Nothobranchius furzeri: one gene and its partner. The protein of the gene in region 2 binds, or shares a complex with, the protein of the main gene of each other region. Links are inferred from orthologs where the notes say so. Each region holds a gene or a part of one and is shown on either strand. Other genes may lie near its edges.

Region 1 (4,373 bases), on a different chromosome or scaffold from region 2:
CATCAGCTAACAGAATGAACTGAATAGCACGAAGGCCGGAGTGAGAAAAAAGTCTTAATGGGTGCGAGCACAAAGAAACTAATGATTGTACTTTCCTTCGTCAGACAAAGACACAAGAAGCTTGTCTCTGATTGGCTAACAGCAACACGACTACCACTGACTGTCTGCTCTGCAACGCTGATGATTTATCTCCACCAATAACACAAGCCTGGAGGAGTTCTGCTGTGTGGTGGAGTTGCTAATGCTAACGGTTAGCTTCTACTAACCGAGACGTTCTCTGCTGTTTCCTGGACTAAACCAACAACAGCCTTCCCCGTCGTGAGTCCAGATGGGTGAGTCCATGAATGTTAGTGACAGTGTGACGTAAATCTGTCAGGATTTTCTAGAGTTTCACCATCTGTTTTCTATCAGAAGCTAATGCAGGAGGTAGGTGTAGGAGACTATTTTCATGTTCAGCCTGCATGAAAAACTCATTACTATTAGAATCAGAGACAATCATTAGTAATGGTTCAGTGTTCCACGCCTACAAATCCTTCAGAGTGGAACGAGACGATAAGGAGATACTGGTACCTTTGGTCAGGAGGCGGTCCCTGATGGAGACCCTGTGGGTGGAGTCTGAGGCTCCAGAGGCACGGCTTGCTTTCCCTCCATCCTCCTTCTTCAACTTGCTAGCCAATGTAAGCATGGCTACGCTGCTGAGACACGCCTCTCTCTGCCCCGAGCCTCACCGCCTGTCCAACGTCTGCCAGTGACACAGATCCACATCTTCATTTTATCAGAATAGATAAACAAACAAACAGAGAAACAACAAAGTGTCTGTTTGTATGTGAGAAAGTTGGTTTGAATGTTCCGCTCAGAGCCGGCCGGGAGGGAACAGAGGTGTGAGAAAACGCTGAATAAGAGCCGCTTCGCTTTGAAACTAATCTGCTGAAAGTTTCCACCAAGAGGAGTGATTGTGTCTGTGACTCATCGTGTTGGTCACCAGCATCAAAGAGCACCTGGAGTGGGAATAAATGCATAAACTCAGATTACACTAAACAGGTGGAGCGGCTCGGTCTAATGCAGAATCAGACGTTTCCTGTTCAACGGTGTCATGTTTTCTATTTGATGTTTAAACAAGAAAAACTGAAAACACTTCAGAAGGAAAAACAATGCAGTGATTATTTTGGACATTTTTCTCTCTGAGTCTCTAAAGTGTTACCAGCTGGTTTTCAACTTTTTAGTCCAAACCACCAAAACAGTCCTTGGGTGTGACTCAGCGACACGCTGCTGTGACGTTTTAAACCGAACTGTAATCCTGTTGAAGTCAGACAGGGTTTCTGACACCACAACATGATGACTTCAGCAAACAAAGATGAACTTTATGTTTCACTTATGATGCCATAGCAAAGTCAAGCCCCCTGAGCCTCATCAGGAAAGGTCACGGCTAGTCTCTGGATGTAAACAAACAAATGGGTCCATTTGTGCTTTCAGATGAGTGGAAAACAAAACTAAAATGTTTGGGACAATTTGAGCCAAAGCAAGAAAAGTTGGAGCCAAGTTTGCTTTAGGCCCAAATATCATTTATAATCTTTATATTATAACTGATGTCCTGACTCCACCTGTATTAGTGCAACAAACCCAGGTAAAAAGAGGTTTCCTGTAACGTCTCCACTCTGTAAAACCCAGTTTGTGCACTGGGTGAGCTCACTCAGAGGGGGAGTGATGGTGTCGTGTGTCGCCGAGCCCGACTCGACACACACCTGCCCCAGCTGTCAGTCACCTCATATGTCTGTACGGCAACATCATCACAGCAGAGCTCACAAAGTCAGCGGCAAAACAAACGCAACAACACTTTAATCGCCGCACTACGGTAGTGCTTGTACACCAAACTTTTAACAAGGTCTTGTACAATAGATGTTTTGTTTTTAGAAAACCTGAAAGACTCTTTAGGCTTTCCCTTAAACCTACCCAACAATCTTTTCTTTGTATCATTTCAAGCCACTTTCACCTGTACGTTTAATAAAAGTGATGAAGTAAGAAAGATGCATCTGTTTGTTAACCTATCAATCACAGACCTCGTTATAAATGGTCTCAAGATATTGTCGCCCAGAGGTCAATCAAAGGGAAAAGAAAGACAGGCAGCCCTAATCAGATAATACCTAAAAGAGTCTTAACATTCAACGAAGTGTCATGCAGTTCTAGTTTTATGCTTCAATAAATAAATACATATATATACACACACACTCAATTTAGAGCTTGAGTCTGAGCATAACATCAGCGGGGAGTACTCATTATTTATGAAAATAAATTGTTTTGTCAAAGAAAAAGTCTGAAGACTAATTTTCTAAAGTATAAGGTGAACTTCTCTGTCTATTTTGCTCTGGATGCTTGATCATTAGTATACTAATTTATTTCCATAAAAACTGATCATAAAGCTAAAAATAGTGCATGCCATTTGTTTTGTCCTTATTTTTCAGGCCTGTTTGTGGTCAGACGTCTGACCTGCTACAGCTTTAACAGTGAGTCTAGCCTATTAATCACAAATTAATGCTCACTTCCCTCATTTCGTCTCATCTAGGTGGCCTGCCTTTCACACACGAATCCAGTCAACGTGACAACAGAGGAATCCTAACAAACAACCCAAGTCTTCTTAAAGGCGCTGAAACCAGCTGATTTAGAGCGACAACTTAAGATTTCACCTTCTTCCTCCTCCTCTTTGGTCGGGTTACCATAACAACACCTCGCTAATGTTGCTAATAAAAGCTACGTAGACGTTTCCAGACAGATCGCTCAACACCAGGTTTCTGCTCACAAGCACAAATGACACGGCTCCTTTCTGACGGCTGAACTTTTCACACCAGGAGCCGCTTGTGTGTTCTTTGTGTGTTACCTTCTGTCTCCCAGCTAGCTCTTCGTGCTAAACCATAATCAGCGGCTCTGCGAGCTCAAGCTGCCGCCAGCAGCACCACACCTGGCGGGTAGCAGACGCGTCCTCCTCTCAAAGGATCCAAAACTAGTTATTACCGATTCTACAACAGACTGGGAACTGATTTGGGAATCAGCTGACAGAAACTTCGCTCCGGTGGCAAACGGAAGCGCAATGGAGCAGTGCCCTGTTATTTGCTTCCGTGTGGACACACGGTAATGATAAATAGTTCCGCGCTGCTTGGTGGACGGTTATAAACATTTTAATAACCGTTAATATTATAATTATCATTAGTATTATTGTTATTGTTACTATTACTAATACTACTTATAATAATAATAATAATTTTTATTTTATTATTATTTTTATAATGATGATGAAGATAATAATAATTGTTATTGTTAGTAGTAGTAGTAGTAGTAGTAGTAGTAGTAGTAGTAGTAGTAGTAGTAGTATTTGTAATGATGTGGTTGGAGGAAAATGTCCACCTTTACAAATAATTATGAACCTGTAAAGATTTAATATTTCATTGTGATTATTGACCCAGTGAGAGTTGGACTCTGCCAGTTCATCCAGTTAAAATCCTTTACCTCAGAACCCTCCCCAGTCAAGTCAGGTGTGCCCCAGGGCTCTGTCCTGGGGCCCCTCCTCTTCATAGTATATCTCCTCCCTATCGGCAAAATCTTCCGCAAATTCAATATCCAGTTTCACTGCTTTGCAGATGACACCCAGCTCTACATTTCCAGTAAGCCCAACTCAACTCTCCCTCCATCCTCCCTTACACTCTGCCTCTCTGAAATCAAATCATGGTTCACCTCTAATTTCCTCAAACTCAACGGCAATAAAACTGAACTTCTTCTTGTTGGCACTAACTCCACCCCCTCAACATCTGACAGCTTTTCTTTAACTATTGACAGCGCCACAGTCTCCCCCTCACCTCACGTCAAGAGTCTGGGTGTCATTCTCGACAGCTCACTTTCTTTTCAGGCTCACATTAATAACATAATTCGGTCAGCATACTTCCATCTACGTTCCATAAACCGTCTCCGTCCCTCACTGACCCCTCACACTGCCGCCATTCTCGTCCACAGCCTCGTCACCTCCCGTATCGACTATTGCAATTCACTTCTTTATGGTCTTCCCAACAAACTCCTTCATAAACTTCAACTGGTCCAGAATTCAGCAGCCCGTATTATCACCAGAACCCCTTCCTTTCACCACATCACGCCGGTTCTCCAGCAGCTTCACTGGCTCCCAGTTAAATTCAGGTCCATCTTCAAAATTCTCCTCCATACCTTCAAAGCAATCCACAACCTCTCTCCTCCATATATCTCAGACCTTATAAGTATTCACACCCCGTCCCGTTCACTCAGGTCTTCTTCTTCCATCCATCTTGTGGTTCCTTCTGCCCGTCTCGCTACCATGGGGAGCAGAGCTTTCAGCCGCTCTGCTCCTCGACTCTGGA
Region 2 (4,506 bases):
CATGGAGCTCTACAGCATGCATCCAACACTACACCATAGTAGAAGTAGAAATCACTGTTTACAACATGGCATTTCAGCATTTTTAACAGCGTCCTCGTCTTTTCCGACAGTGCGAGCTATTTCTCTCCAAGAATTATTAACAACATGTTGATCATGGTGATCTTTGAGAGCTGAATCATACAAATGTCTGTATTTACCAACCTCTGCCGTACTAGTTCTTGCCGGTCCGCCATGTTTTTCCGCGTCCGACCGTCCGCGTGGTTAGAAATTTTCCGAGGTGCGCGTTGCGGAAATTCTGGGCCGTGCGGAGGCGCGGTGGAGGGGCGTGGTTGTTAAAATGACGCAAAATGACGCAACTTTTCCGTGCGGACCTCGCGGACGCGTCAAGCATAAACCAACCTTAACAGGTGCCACGCCGCATTGAAGCAGTCATTTCTGCAAAAGGATTCCCGACCAAGTATTGAGTGCATAACTGAACATAATTATTTGAAGGTTGACTTTTTTGTATTAAAAACACTTTTCTTTTATTGGTCGGATGAAAAATGCTAATTTCTTTGAGATAGGAATTTTGGGTTTTCATGAGCTGTACGCCAAAATCATCAATATTAGAAACATTAAAAGGCTTGAACTACTTCAGTTGTGTGTAATGAATCTAATATATATATGAAAGTCTAATGTTTATCAGTACATCACAGAAAATAATGAACTTTATCACAATATGCTAATTTTTTGAGAAGGACCTATATATAATGAGCCAGAATTGTTACAGTCTCTTGTAACACACAGGGCTTGTCTTCAGCTCCTGCAGGGTGGGTGTTAAAGAGAGCAGAGTAAAAATCTGTGTTATGAGGGATATGAATGATGTACAGATCAATTTCATTCCATCCACCCACACAGCTTTGTAGGTGATGTCTCATCAGACTGTGTGCAGTCCGTGAATGTAGGTAGTTACTGTTTAAGCTAGTTGAACAAGCTAATTACTTGGGTCATATCCCTTGAAGCCATGTCAGCATTTTGTGTAATCCTTTGACTGATGTGATGATGGGAGCCAACAGAAAAGTGTTTCTACAGTTTACATTTAGGTTAGAGCTAAACCTGATGCCTCATGTCTTGTTGTTGCTGAGATTATTGTTGCAGCATGTGAAAATAATGAGGGAAGTGCTTTAGAAATATGTCGCTAATGAAGTCTGGGATCGTTTAAAACAAACCTGCTTTTTCATAAAGGGAGAGTTTCCAAAGCCCTGTTTGTTGCATGTTTTGATTGTTTAACTAACTTTTATCAGTAAAACTCTAAAAAATTGATACGTAACTTTGCACCCAGACACAACAAATCCTGTGATCATTTTTTTAAAATCAGAAAGACATTCCATTAACATTTTTCAGACTGAATGCTCAACAATGCTTCATATATTTTATATTCTCATAGATGTGGTTGTAATTCATGAGTAAAACCAGATCAATCACTTTTTGTTTTTACTTGCAAACATCAATTTGGTAGTTTGTTTAATCTGTAAATGCATCATTTTCTTTCCACTAACCTAATTACTAAAACAGACATGGTTACCACACACACACACACACACACACATGATGTGATGACTTCATGCATTATATCATAAAAGAGCAGCTGATGACAATTTCACTTACAGACACTCCGTCAGATGGCATTGTCTTTCAGTTCTGCTCCATCATTGTGACCTTGAGATCAGCAACGCTGCAAAGACACATTATATTGTCATCATAAGCAGAAAGCAATAGCTCTTCATTCCCAAATCTGCAGGGACTATTTTTGTCAATACAAAGAGAAAGTCAAAACTCTCCTCTTGCAAAATAATTATTGGACAGTTTTAAAATACCCTAAAATGACAGTTAGAAGTCATTGTGCAATATTTACACAGTGGGGTAATCTTTCTGTGTCTCCACTTGAAGGGTTTCTGTACAACTCTTTGCTTCCACAAAGAAAGAGTCTCACATGTTATAATGAAACATAATTCACAATGCTTAATGCAAAATACACAGCTTTGATTTTTAAACCCAAACTCAACTCTGTTCAGATCATTGATAAAGTCACTAGTCATACATTAATAAGAAGAGTCAGGCTTCAGGGGCAAATTGCCAGTACAGATCAATGTCCTGGACATGTAGAGGCACGTCTCCCACACTTCTAACTTGGCCAACTTCAAGTCTCTGACATCAGATGGATGTCTAAAGGCCCCCTTTTCCACAATAAACAGGCATCACCGTGTAACACATCCAGACGTCAATTTAACTGGATTAGCTGGTCTTAAAAACTGTCCGAGGCGAAGAGCAGCCCAGATATTAAATTGTAATATCTGCAGCTATGTTGTCACCGAGCACGAGCTGCTGGGTTTAAAAACACACATCTGATAACGATGATCTGAATAAGTTATGCTTGTTGGAGACAGACAAGCTCTTGATCAGGATCAAGGGAGCTTAACAGCACATGTACAGCACTTCCAAATGAAATGTAAACACTGATTCAGTTTCTGTTTAATAGTCCGCTTAAACTGCTTAAAGTAGTCGGGCAATACTCGCTAATCGGTTACTGATCAACGATCCATCCTCGTCACCGGGCCATTTAAACATCCACATCTAAAGTGCCTGGCCCTGACCACGTCGACATAGCTAAAAGTTAGCTAGCGGCTATGCTAAGTCTTCTCCGGCTGACACAACGAGATAAATATCCTCAAAAAGCTTACCTTTTTAGGAAAACGTAGGCCGCGTCATTTGAATGTACATCACTTCATAAATGTCACTGAAAACAAAGGTGGGCAAATAAGTTGGCCGAAATACCAGCAGTAACGAACTGAGGCAAACTCGTCGTCAGATTGTTAGCAAACTAGCAGGCAGCTGACCAAAAGAAAAAAAAAGAAAAAACTTCCATAATAAAGTCGCACTCTATTCTACCTTTAGGGAATGATAAAATGATTAGCAGTCAGAGTTTGTATCGGAATTCATTTTTGTTGGTTCGCAGTTTAAAACAAGTTAAAGAGCCACTCTCGGACTAAGGCTGCCTATTTCTTTGTGCTTCCCCCTTTTAGTCATTGAACTACATTATGGACATTTTCCTGCATCACTTCCTCTGTCTGTGCTAACAGCCAACAGCTGATCTCCATCTGAGCGGGGGTGTCACACCGAATTCTGTCACCATAATAGTTTGGGACTTGACCGGGGAAGTCGAAAAATGTTTTTGTTTTGTTTTCCAGAGTAAAACACTGGATATGGAAAAACAGGAAACAGTTTGTACAGATTTATTTATGCGCTCATTTGCATTTTTAAAATGTAAAGACATGTGGTACAAGTGTATAAAAAACACATCTGCAAGCAGTTTTTTTATTTAATTTTTTAATTGGAGGGTAATTTTATTTGCATTGAGTAGCTTGGTTTAGATTTCACACACCCACACCAGTGGCGGCTGCTGAAAATAATTCTTGGTGGGGCTATGTGAAATATTTCCCTTCTTAGTCCACAATTATTAAAATGCACAGTTGAAAAATGACTACAACTGCGAAACAATCATTAATTTCCCTCCTTTAAATAAGCAGTTTTACAGATTAGATAGATTTTCAAATTTACAGCTAAAAAGACTATAATATCAATAATACTCAAATAAATGCACACGCCAATCATGTGAGCCTTTAAAAGCAACCACAGTCAATAATTTCCATTTCTGTTTTTATTTCCATTTTCTTTTGACAAGCTTGAGTTTTCAGTCTCCTATGTCCTATTTATCTCTCACCTGCTCATACAAAGCATGCACACCTCAAAGCGCAGCACTCAGTGCCACCAGTAGGTTTAACAGGACATAGAAACTGAATTACATATCCTGCTTTAAAGGCACATTTGGCAGTTTTGCTTTCTTTAGCACCCCCTAGTATTCGTTTCGTAGAACCAAAAGCAAAACACATCTCTTTGCTGTGCATTTGTCTTTTTAACACTTGAATCTTAATTGCTGAAAATCTCCCCAGCCTTCCTTTGTGTCTACATGAGCGATTTATCACTAAATCAAACAAATCAGCTGTGTTCATGATCTAAAACACGAAGGAAACAGGCTGGAAGCAGGCTGCAGCACCAAGTATGTCAGCTCTATTTTTTCTAAGCCCAACAGAGTAGACCGGCTTTCAATTCAACTTTGTTTTTCACCTTGTTAGTCATTTTCATTCCCACTCCTATTGCGTAATATTGTTTTTGAACGATTAAAAGTGCAGAGGACAAGAACTTACATTGAAAAAAGTGTGGGGGACACCCCCCATCCCAAAAAACAAACAAACAAAATTATAATAACAAAAACTACGTCCATTGTGTGTCATCAATGGAAACCTTTTGCCTCATTCACTTGGTGGGTCAGTAAGCTTAGAGAGCCAATTGTAATTTGAGGATTGAACTGCCTGAATGTCTTTTTGTTTATCATTTTAATAATGTGACCAACTCTGTGCGGTGCATATGTATGTAGTGGAGGCATAGTTACATCATTGAACAGGACTG

Evidence for each region.
Region 1: the proteins of dcun1d3 (region 2) and ube2f are in contact, whole or in part, in a crystal structure (PDB 4GBA), measured with the Homo sapiens proteins. The link is inferred for Nothobranchius furzeri from reciprocal best matches to the Homo sapiens genes DCUN1D3 and UBE2F. Residues at the interface, in NP_775746.1 of Homo sapiens: Glu108, Glu109, Glu112, Pro122, Thr123, Glu124, Met139, Cys140, Glu194, Ile204, Ala207, Leu208; in NP_001265234.1 of Homo sapiens: Leu2, Thr3, Leu4, Lys7, Leu8.

The regions. Positions count from the first base shown.
Region 1 is NC_091754.1:2,840,437-2,844,809, reverse strand, and holds the start of ube2f (NEDD8-conjugating enzyme UBE2F), read right to left. Parts: upstream 3,085-4,373; 5' UTR 2,873-3,084; intron 766-2,872; exon of another isoform or gene 743-765; 5' UTR 686-742; coding exon 571-685; intron 1-570. UniProt on the Homo sapiens protein: Accepts the ubiquitin-like protein NEDD8 from the UBA3-NAE1 E1 complex and catalyzes its covalent attachment to other proteins. Together with the E3 ubiquitin ligase RNF7/RBX2, specifically neddylates cullin-5 (CUL5).
Region 2 is NC_091756.1:31,621,249-31,625,754, reverse strand, and holds the start of dcun1d3 (DCN1-like protein 3), read right to left. Parts: upstream 3,106-4,506; 5' UTR 2,721-3,105; intron 1,715-2,720; 5' UTR 1,648-1,714; intron 1-1,647. UniProt on the Homo sapiens protein: Contributes to the neddylation of all cullins by transferring NEDD8 from N-terminally acetylated NEDD8-conjugating E2s enzyme to different cullin C-terminal domain-RBX complexes and may play a role in the cell cycle progression by regulating the SCF ubiquitin E3 ligase complex, after UV damage.